2 linked regions of the Alligator mississippiensis genome follow. The protein of the gene in region 1 purifies or fractionates together with the protein of each later gene. This does not show direct contact. Links are inferred from orthologs where the notes say so. Each region holds a gene or a part of one and is shown in the gene's direction. Other genes may lie near its edges.

Region 1 (3,744 bases):
TAGACAGACAGACAGACAGACAGATAGATAGATAGATAGATATCAACTGACTGACAGACAGATAGATTGATGGACAGACCTACAGACTGATAGATAGACAGACAGAAGATTAAACAAAGCCTGGAATATTCTGGCCAGCTGCATGCCCTTCTGGCGTAAAAGCACAGGCTTATCCCTGACAGTTTTTGCTTGGCAGTTGCCCCAAACCCATTTTGTTTAAATGACCCCCCCCCCCCCAAAAAAAAAAAAAAAAAAGGTTCAAGACTAATGTCACTTCCCATCCATCCACAGCTTAAATGTGGCTGCCACCAGCAGAGGAAGGAGAGGGGTTTGCATCTGGGGGACTGCTAGGATGGGATGAGCTCACACAATTAACGGGACGTCTGTTTGTCTGTCTTTTTTTACTGCAGGGCTGGCTGTGCTTCACCACCAAGAGGCATGGCAGAGGCTGGCTGGGAGTGCAGGGCCCTGCCTGCTTTGCTTCCTCAACTGGACCAGGGAGAAGCCAGCACCAAAACAGCAGCATCCTAGTGCAAGCAGCTTGCAAGAGATACAGCTCCCAGGGTAGCAGGGTCCCTGGATCTTTCTTGGCATGAAAGTTAGAAACAGCTGTGTGTGCATGTGTGTGTGTGCGCACGTGCGTATGTGCATGTGTAACCCCCCAACACACACACACATGCCTCCTGCTATTTCCTGCCAGTTGCATGCTTCTTGCTGCTTTCTGTGCAACAAGTTTGGCACGTTCTCAGCCCAGCCCCCAGGGACAAGATCCTTCTTAACACAACTTAACACTTGCACCCGCCTTAACACTTGCACCCGCCTTAACACTGCTGTCTCCATTGGGGGCTGCTGGAGGGCACCAAGTGGTCAGGCTGCTGCCCTGGGGGCGGGGGGGGGGGGGGGGGGGGGGAAGGGCATTCCTTATTAACCCCTTTATTCATCAGATCTATTTGCATTGCCTCCATGCCTCTGAGTCCCACAGCAGGCCCAGGCTCCATCACTTGGAGGCTGTGTACCCTATCCAGAAACCTTGCAGTCAACACCCTACCCCCCCACCCCAAATAATAAGAGAAGCTCAGAAGGGGACTTTCCCCATGTCCCACTGCTGGAGGTTGGAAGAAAGCCCAGGTGTCCTGATTTCCAGTCTGCAGCCCCCTCCCTGCCTCCCCACCCCTCAGGATGTGACTGGGAGAGCATCCTTGCAAAGCTCTTGCAGCTGGGCAAGCCCCGCTTGGTGCACAGATGAAGCTCTTCTATCTTTGGCCCAAGTCCAGCCAAAAATAGCTGGGTCTGGCACCGGGCAGTTTTCTCGAGCACGGGTGAGGAACTGGCCTGGAGCACGTCCAGGCTGCCACCGCCCCAAGGCACGGAAGAGTTAAAGCCCTCACTCGCTGTCCGGGGCCTCCTACTCCGCCCACCGGAGTATGAATAGCTGCGCTGGGCTGTTTCCCGGCCACTTGCTCCCTCTCCCCCTCTGGACCACGCTTCCCCTCTCTCTGCCCATCCACGGACCACGGTCGTCCAGCGATGTTGAGCATGGAGGGCTTGCTGGGGGCACGTGCCCTGGAGAAAGAGTCCCTCCAGATGTGGGACCTCAACAAGCGCCTGGAAGCCTACCTAGCCCGGGTGAAGTTCCTGGAAGAGGAAAACGAGGTGCTGAGAGCAGAGATCCAGAGAGCTAAGAGCAGCCCGGCCGAGAGGTCCTGGAGGAGCAGGTACGAGGAAGAGCTGAGAGCCCTGAGGGCTACCTTGGATGATGCCTTCAAGGAGAAGTGCCTGGCAGAGCTGGCCCGGGACAACCTGTACGAGGAGGTGGAGCAGGTGAGGAGCAGGTGCGAGAGGGAACGGGCCGCCCGGGATGAAGCCAAGAGGCAACTGGGGCTGAGCAAGAAGGAGCTGGAAGAGGAGAGGAGAGCCCAGATCTGGCTGAAGGAGAGGGCTGCTCAACTGGAGAAGGAAGTGGAGGCACTGATGGAGATACACGAGGAGGACAGAGCCCAGCTGGACCAGGAGGTCGCCCGCTTCTCCTGTAGCCTGGAGAGCTTCCGGGCTCCATCGGCTGCCTTCCAGCCCCTGGAGGTTGAAGACTACTCCAAGAGGCTGGCCGAGATCTGGAAAGGAGCCGTGGAGACCTACAAGAGTGAGGTGGCCCAGCTGGAGAGCACCCTGGGCCAAGCCAAGGAGAGCCTGTGGCAGGCGGTGGAGGGCAACCGGCAGAACCAGCTGCAGCTGCAGCAGCTGGAGAAGGACCTGGCCGGGCTCAAGGCGAGGAAGGAGATGCTGGAGGAGAACCTCTCCCAGCAGTGGCAGGAGCAGAGGGGGGAGGCGGAGAAGTTTCAGGTGGGTCCAAAGGCCATGGAGGGGAGGGCATGCAGATGGGCACACAGGACTGGGAACCAGACTAGCATCCTTGTCCTGTCCCTGGGAAGCAGCATGCCTAGTGGTTAGAGCTGGGAGACCGGGGCCCAGGACTCCAGGGTTCAAGACTGTACCCGGAGAGACAGATGTGGAGCGTGGGAGGGGGAGCAGGACTCCTGGGTTTTCTGCCTGGCTTTGGTGGTTAAATCCAGAGGGACAGGGGAAGGGCTCCTGGGTTCTCTCTGCAGATGGGCCAGGCTTACCTGCATGCAGGAAAGAGGATTTTTGGTGGGGGTTGAGGATGTTTGCCAGTTGCAGGGCCACTTATGGGTCTGGACTGACTCATGGATTTGGACTTGATTTGGCTTGGAACATGAAACATTTCTTTAAAAAAAAAAGAGGATTTCCAGCCCGGGCAGGTGCAGAGAAGGGCTGTGGGAGACAGCAGCATGAGGTCTGCCAGGAGCTGGGCTGGGTCTGGTGGAGAGGGTTGGGCTTGTCCCTGGCATGACAGCAGGGAAGGCGTCTGTCCCAAGCCCTGAGGAAAGGGTGAGGGACATGTCCCCATCCTCTCCTCCTGACATGCTGTGGTGCTTAGGGCTGGGGAGAGTGGGTGCCAAGACGCCTGGCTTCTACCTCCATCAGGCATGCCCTTTCCTCTCTGCAAACCCACCAGCCCCAGTGGGTAGGAGCATTTCTGTGCCTACATGAGGGCATGAGAGCCAGGGCTGCCAGGTCCTATGCCTGCTTCTGGGTCCCTTCCCCTCTCTGTGCCTCAGTTTCTCCATCTGCAGAAGCAGGCTCATGATAGAGATTCCCCACCCCCCGCTTCAGAAGCTCCGTGATTTAAAATCTTGGATCAGGCATCTTGACGTGGAGTGGGGACATCCCCTGAGTCTCTGACCAGCCTGGGTGAGCTGATGACCTTGTATTCACAACATGTGCTGGATCTGGCTGTCTGTCCCATGCACTCTGTCTTTCTGTCTCCCTTAGAAGAGACAAAAACCTTTCCAGGCTTCTGGAAACAGGAGAGTTCTTCAGTCTGGAAGATAAAAGTCCTCCCTCCGTGACCTGCTTGTGGGGTGAAGACAGCTCCACAGCTGCCCTGACCCATTCTGGCCTTGACCATGTTCGGAGCGGGTGCAGGCTTCAGAAGTCTCTTAGACTCTGTGTCAATCTGGAGTGTAAAGCAGGGAGGGATTTGGCCCTGGAGGGGGTTGGACCCATGGGTGAGTTGCAACCAGGGCTCCAGTTCAGAGCTCTTGAAGAAGGAGAATTTTGCTTCGGGCCCAGTTTGAATGCCCGTTTGGATACTGCAAATCCAGAGTCAAACCCTCCACCCATCAATGGTGCTGGTCCAGATCCTTGCACTCGAACATGCCCTGT
Region 2 (3,744 bases), on another chromosome or scaffold:
TTGCCAGGCCCTAGCAAATCCACCCTGTTCCTTCACCCAGCTCAGGGGAAAACCGCGCTGAAGAGCAGTTTCTGCTTGAGGTCTCTGCGCTTCAGCCCTGGGAGAAACGGCGCCAGAGAAGCGACGCTTTTCACTGCTCAGCCTGGGGCCCACGGCCCTTTCGCGCAGCTGAGGCCATACCCTCCGGGGCGTTCAGCCTCTACCTTGCGGAATAAGCAACCGCAGGGGGAAAGGAAGGGCAAGGCTTCAAGCAGACAAGGTCCTTTGGGTAAATCCGATATCTTTTATTAGACCAACTCAAATAGTTGGAAAGATTCTTCTTCCCAAGATTTTTTCCAACTATTTGAGTCGGGCTAATAAAAGATACCGGATTTACCCAAAGGACTTGTCTGCCAGTGCCGTTAGACCAGCGCGGCTACGCCCAACCCTTCCAGCAGCTTTCATGTCTCCGGGGACGCGCGCGGGCAGCGCCGTGTGCCTCTGCCCCGGCGCCGGCGGGGCCGCGCCGAGCAGGGCGGGCTGCGAGCGGGGATGCGGCGCCCCCTGCCCGGCAAAGCGCCGCCGCCCGAGCAGCCGCGGGGCGCGGGCGGATGGGCTCCGCCGCGCCAGCCAAAAGGCGCGAAGTCCCGCCGGGCCGGGCCGGGCGGGGCCGGGGTCTCCCCCGACCGCCACGTCCCGAGCCAGGCCCCCCCTCCCGCGCCCCGCCCCGCCCCGCCCCGCCCGGCGCCGCCGATTGGCTGGCAGCGGGCAGGGCGTGGCAGGCTATAAAGCCCGCGCCGCGCCGAGCGCCCCGCTCTCTGCGCTCGAACCGCTAGGCTCGCCCGACGCCGCAGCCATGAGCTTCACCACGACCAAGGGCTCCTCGTACCGCAGGATGTTTGGTGGCGGCGGAGGCGGCGGCAGCGCCCGCTCCAGCTCCAGCGGCGGCACCCGCTATGTCACGTCGTCCAGCCGCTACTCGCTGGGCAGCGCCCGGCCCAGCGCCGGCGTGCGCCTCTCGTCCACGCCCGGCGGCTACGCCACCAGGAGCACGTCGGTGCGGCTGCGGAGCAGCCTGCCGCCCGCGCGCATGCTGCACGACACAGTGGACTTCTCGCTGGCCGACGCCATCAACACGGAGTTCAAGGCGAACCGCACCAACGAGAAGGTGGAGCTGCAGGAGCTCAACGACCGCTTCGCCAACTACATCGACAAGGTGCGCTTCCTGGAGCAGCAGAACAAGATCCTGGTGGCCGAGCTCGAGCAGCTCAAGGGCAAGGGCACGTCCCGCTTGGGCGATCTCTACGAGGAGGAAATGCGCGAGCTGCGCCGCCAGGTGGACGAGCTCACCAACGACAAGGCCCGCGTCGAGGTGGAGCGCGACAACCTGGCCGACGACATCATGAAGCTCCGCGAGAAGTAAGTGCCCGGGGGGCCGGGGCAGGGCGGGAGGGGAGCTGAGCTTGGACAACAGGAAAACTTTCTCCCCAGGAGGGTGGGGGAAAGCGCTGGAGCGGTTCTGGGGTCTCCATCCTTGCCCCTGGCTACGCAGCAGGGGGCTGCACTAGATCAGCGCTTCTCATCCTCTTGTACAAGGGCGCGGGTGGCCAGTCCCGACCCGCTGCCCCTCGCCCCTGACCTTCTGCCCTAGCCCCACAGTTCTGCCAGCCTGGAGGGAGAAGTTGTGGTTTCACACGTTTTCTCCTTTAAAAGAACCCATTTTTAAAGTTTACGCCTGACCCTTTCATATATTCTTGCTGGGTTGCAACCCACGGGTTATGAAACCCTGAGGTCCCTTTCAACTCTAATGTTCTGTGACTGTAGCCCGGCCTCCAGAGAGAGGTTTCCCTAGGGCTGTGGGGTGAGACCTGGGGCACCAGATCTTGGGTCTTCAGCCCCACCCTGAAGGGGGAGGCTTGGGCGGATGGGCAGGCTAGTCTGTTTCCTTCCTTTACCAAAGGAAAGTCGCTCCTCCACAGCTTGGGTTTCTGCAGAAGGCAGCTTTCAAGCAGCCCAACTTGGAGTCAGCCACTTGTTGCATCCCTTGAATGAGTTGTGATGCTCATGTCTGGTTTTGGGACAGTTGTGTCAACTGGAAGCATGAAAAGCCTAGTCAGGCTGACTTGGAAAGGCTCTGCCCCCCAGGGCAGTGTAGGCATGGGATGCTTCTTAGCAAATGCTCCATCTCTCCCTCTGAATGGGTGTGGCTCCACTCAGGTTTTACACCAGGGGCTGGTGGCTTCCTCCTTGCATGGCTTTACCCCTTGTTTATGTTCCTGCTTTCAGGTTGCAAGATGAGATGGAGCAGCGAGAAGAAGCTGAAACCACCCTACAGTCTTTCAGACAGGTTTGTCTCTCTTGTTTGTTTGCTTTTTTCCCTTCTCTTTTCACTTAAATGCGGGGCCCAGCCAACCTAAATTGAAGTGTATAAAGCTTGCATAATACATAAGTTGGATGAAAAGCCACCTAGTGGTAAAAAAGCAGACTGGAAAAGCTGTAGACGTTCATATGGATTTTTTTGTTTAGTCTTAGAGCGTTTTTGGGGGAATTTTTGGTTAATTTTTTTTTTTTAATCCAGGATGCCAACATGCTTTTAGGGTTAAAACTCAGTTATACAATAATAAACTTGCAAGGTTATTTAAAAAAAAAAAGTATGTAGGGGTTATTTTGGAATATTTTGCAAATGATACAGCTTAATTAAATTGAGTGGGGGGGGTTGTTTTGGTTGTTTTTTTTATTAAATAAATTGGATTAGTAGAAGTCATCTGCATGACTAGGTATGGCATGCCTGATGTATCATAGGTGAAATGTTAGTGTATAAATGAGATCCCAGGACTTTGTAGAGGCTTTTGTTAACGCACAGAGGAATTCTGTCAGTAATCATGTAGATTCTGCTTGTTTTCTTTGGGCCGATGCTGTTGTCTCAGGGGGAGGGGAGAAACTATTGTATTGTTTTGTTTTTTTGCTTTATCCAAGTCTAGCCTATCTTACAAAAGTGCCCTGATGTGGAATCACTTTCTGATCCAATAAGGGTGAAAGGGAACCATCTGCTTGCTTGGCTGAAGGGTATTAATGGTTTCTATGGGATTCACCATGGAATGCAGATGCAGGCATTATGGCAAGTGTAGTGGCAGCAGATTGAAATAATAGAAGTCTTTGTATTCAGGGGGACTTTCAACAGGCTGCATTCTTATCGGATGTGTAATGATGCAAGCATATTTTAGAGGCATCAACTATTTTCTGTTTCCCAGTCTCAAAGTATATAATACAGGACTCCTTCAGAAGACTTGACTGACCTCATTTCAAACTTCCAAAGCTTTTGTTCCAAATTAAAATTTCCTATCTGCTTCACAATCTTGGGGGGTTTTTTTTTTGTGTTTTTTTTTTTTTAAGGGAAGGGTTATAATATCAAGAGCAGACTAACTGGTTACGGTGTTGAAACTGGATTTTCTATTTAATGTAGAGGTTCTCAAAGATGGTGTGGGGGAGCTGGGGGTCTGAGACAGGAGGTAGTCAGCTAAGCTTCAGAGTGAAATAATGAGGGTTACCTGGATACCTTTTAATTACTTTAGCAAGAAACTAACCTTTAATTGACCTACAATATTGAACTTTTCAAATAGTGCAGGTATTTCCAAGTAGCAAGCTTGCAAATAGTGGCTTGCAAGCTCAGCCTTTCTGGTGGTTATTTTAAATTTAGTTAATTTAAGATGAAAGTGCTTACCTTCTTTACATGACTTCCTAAAGAAGGTGAGGAGGAAAGGCAAA

What was found. Proteins that work in one complex are often made in the same cells at the same time.
Region 2: the proteins of NES (region 1) and VIM purify together in Homo sapiens (affinity purification with mass spectrometry; 3 studies listed by BioGRID and IntAct, counting the BioPlex papers as one, with this or other methods). This does not show direct contact. The link is inferred for Alligator mississippiensis from reciprocal best matches to the Homo sapiens genes NES and VIM.

Annotation. Positions count from the first base shown.
Region 1 is NC_081838.1:16,776,616-16,780,359, reverse strand, and holds the start of NES (nestin), read left to right. Parts: upstream 1-1,434; 5' UTR 1,435-1,527; coding exon 1,528-2,340; intron 2,341-3,744. UniProt on the Homo sapiens protein: Required for brain and eye development.
Region 2 is NC_081828.1:181,333,445-181,337,188, forward strand, and holds the start of VIM (vimentin), read left to right. Parts: upstream 1-789; 5' UTR 790-835; coding exon 836-1,398; intron 1,399-2,265; coding exon 2,266-2,326; intron 2,327-3,744. UniProt on the Homo sapiens protein: Vimentins are class-III intermediate filaments found in various non-epithelial cells, especially mesenchymal cells. Vimentin is attached to the nucleus, endoplasmic reticulum, and mitochondria, either laterally or terminally.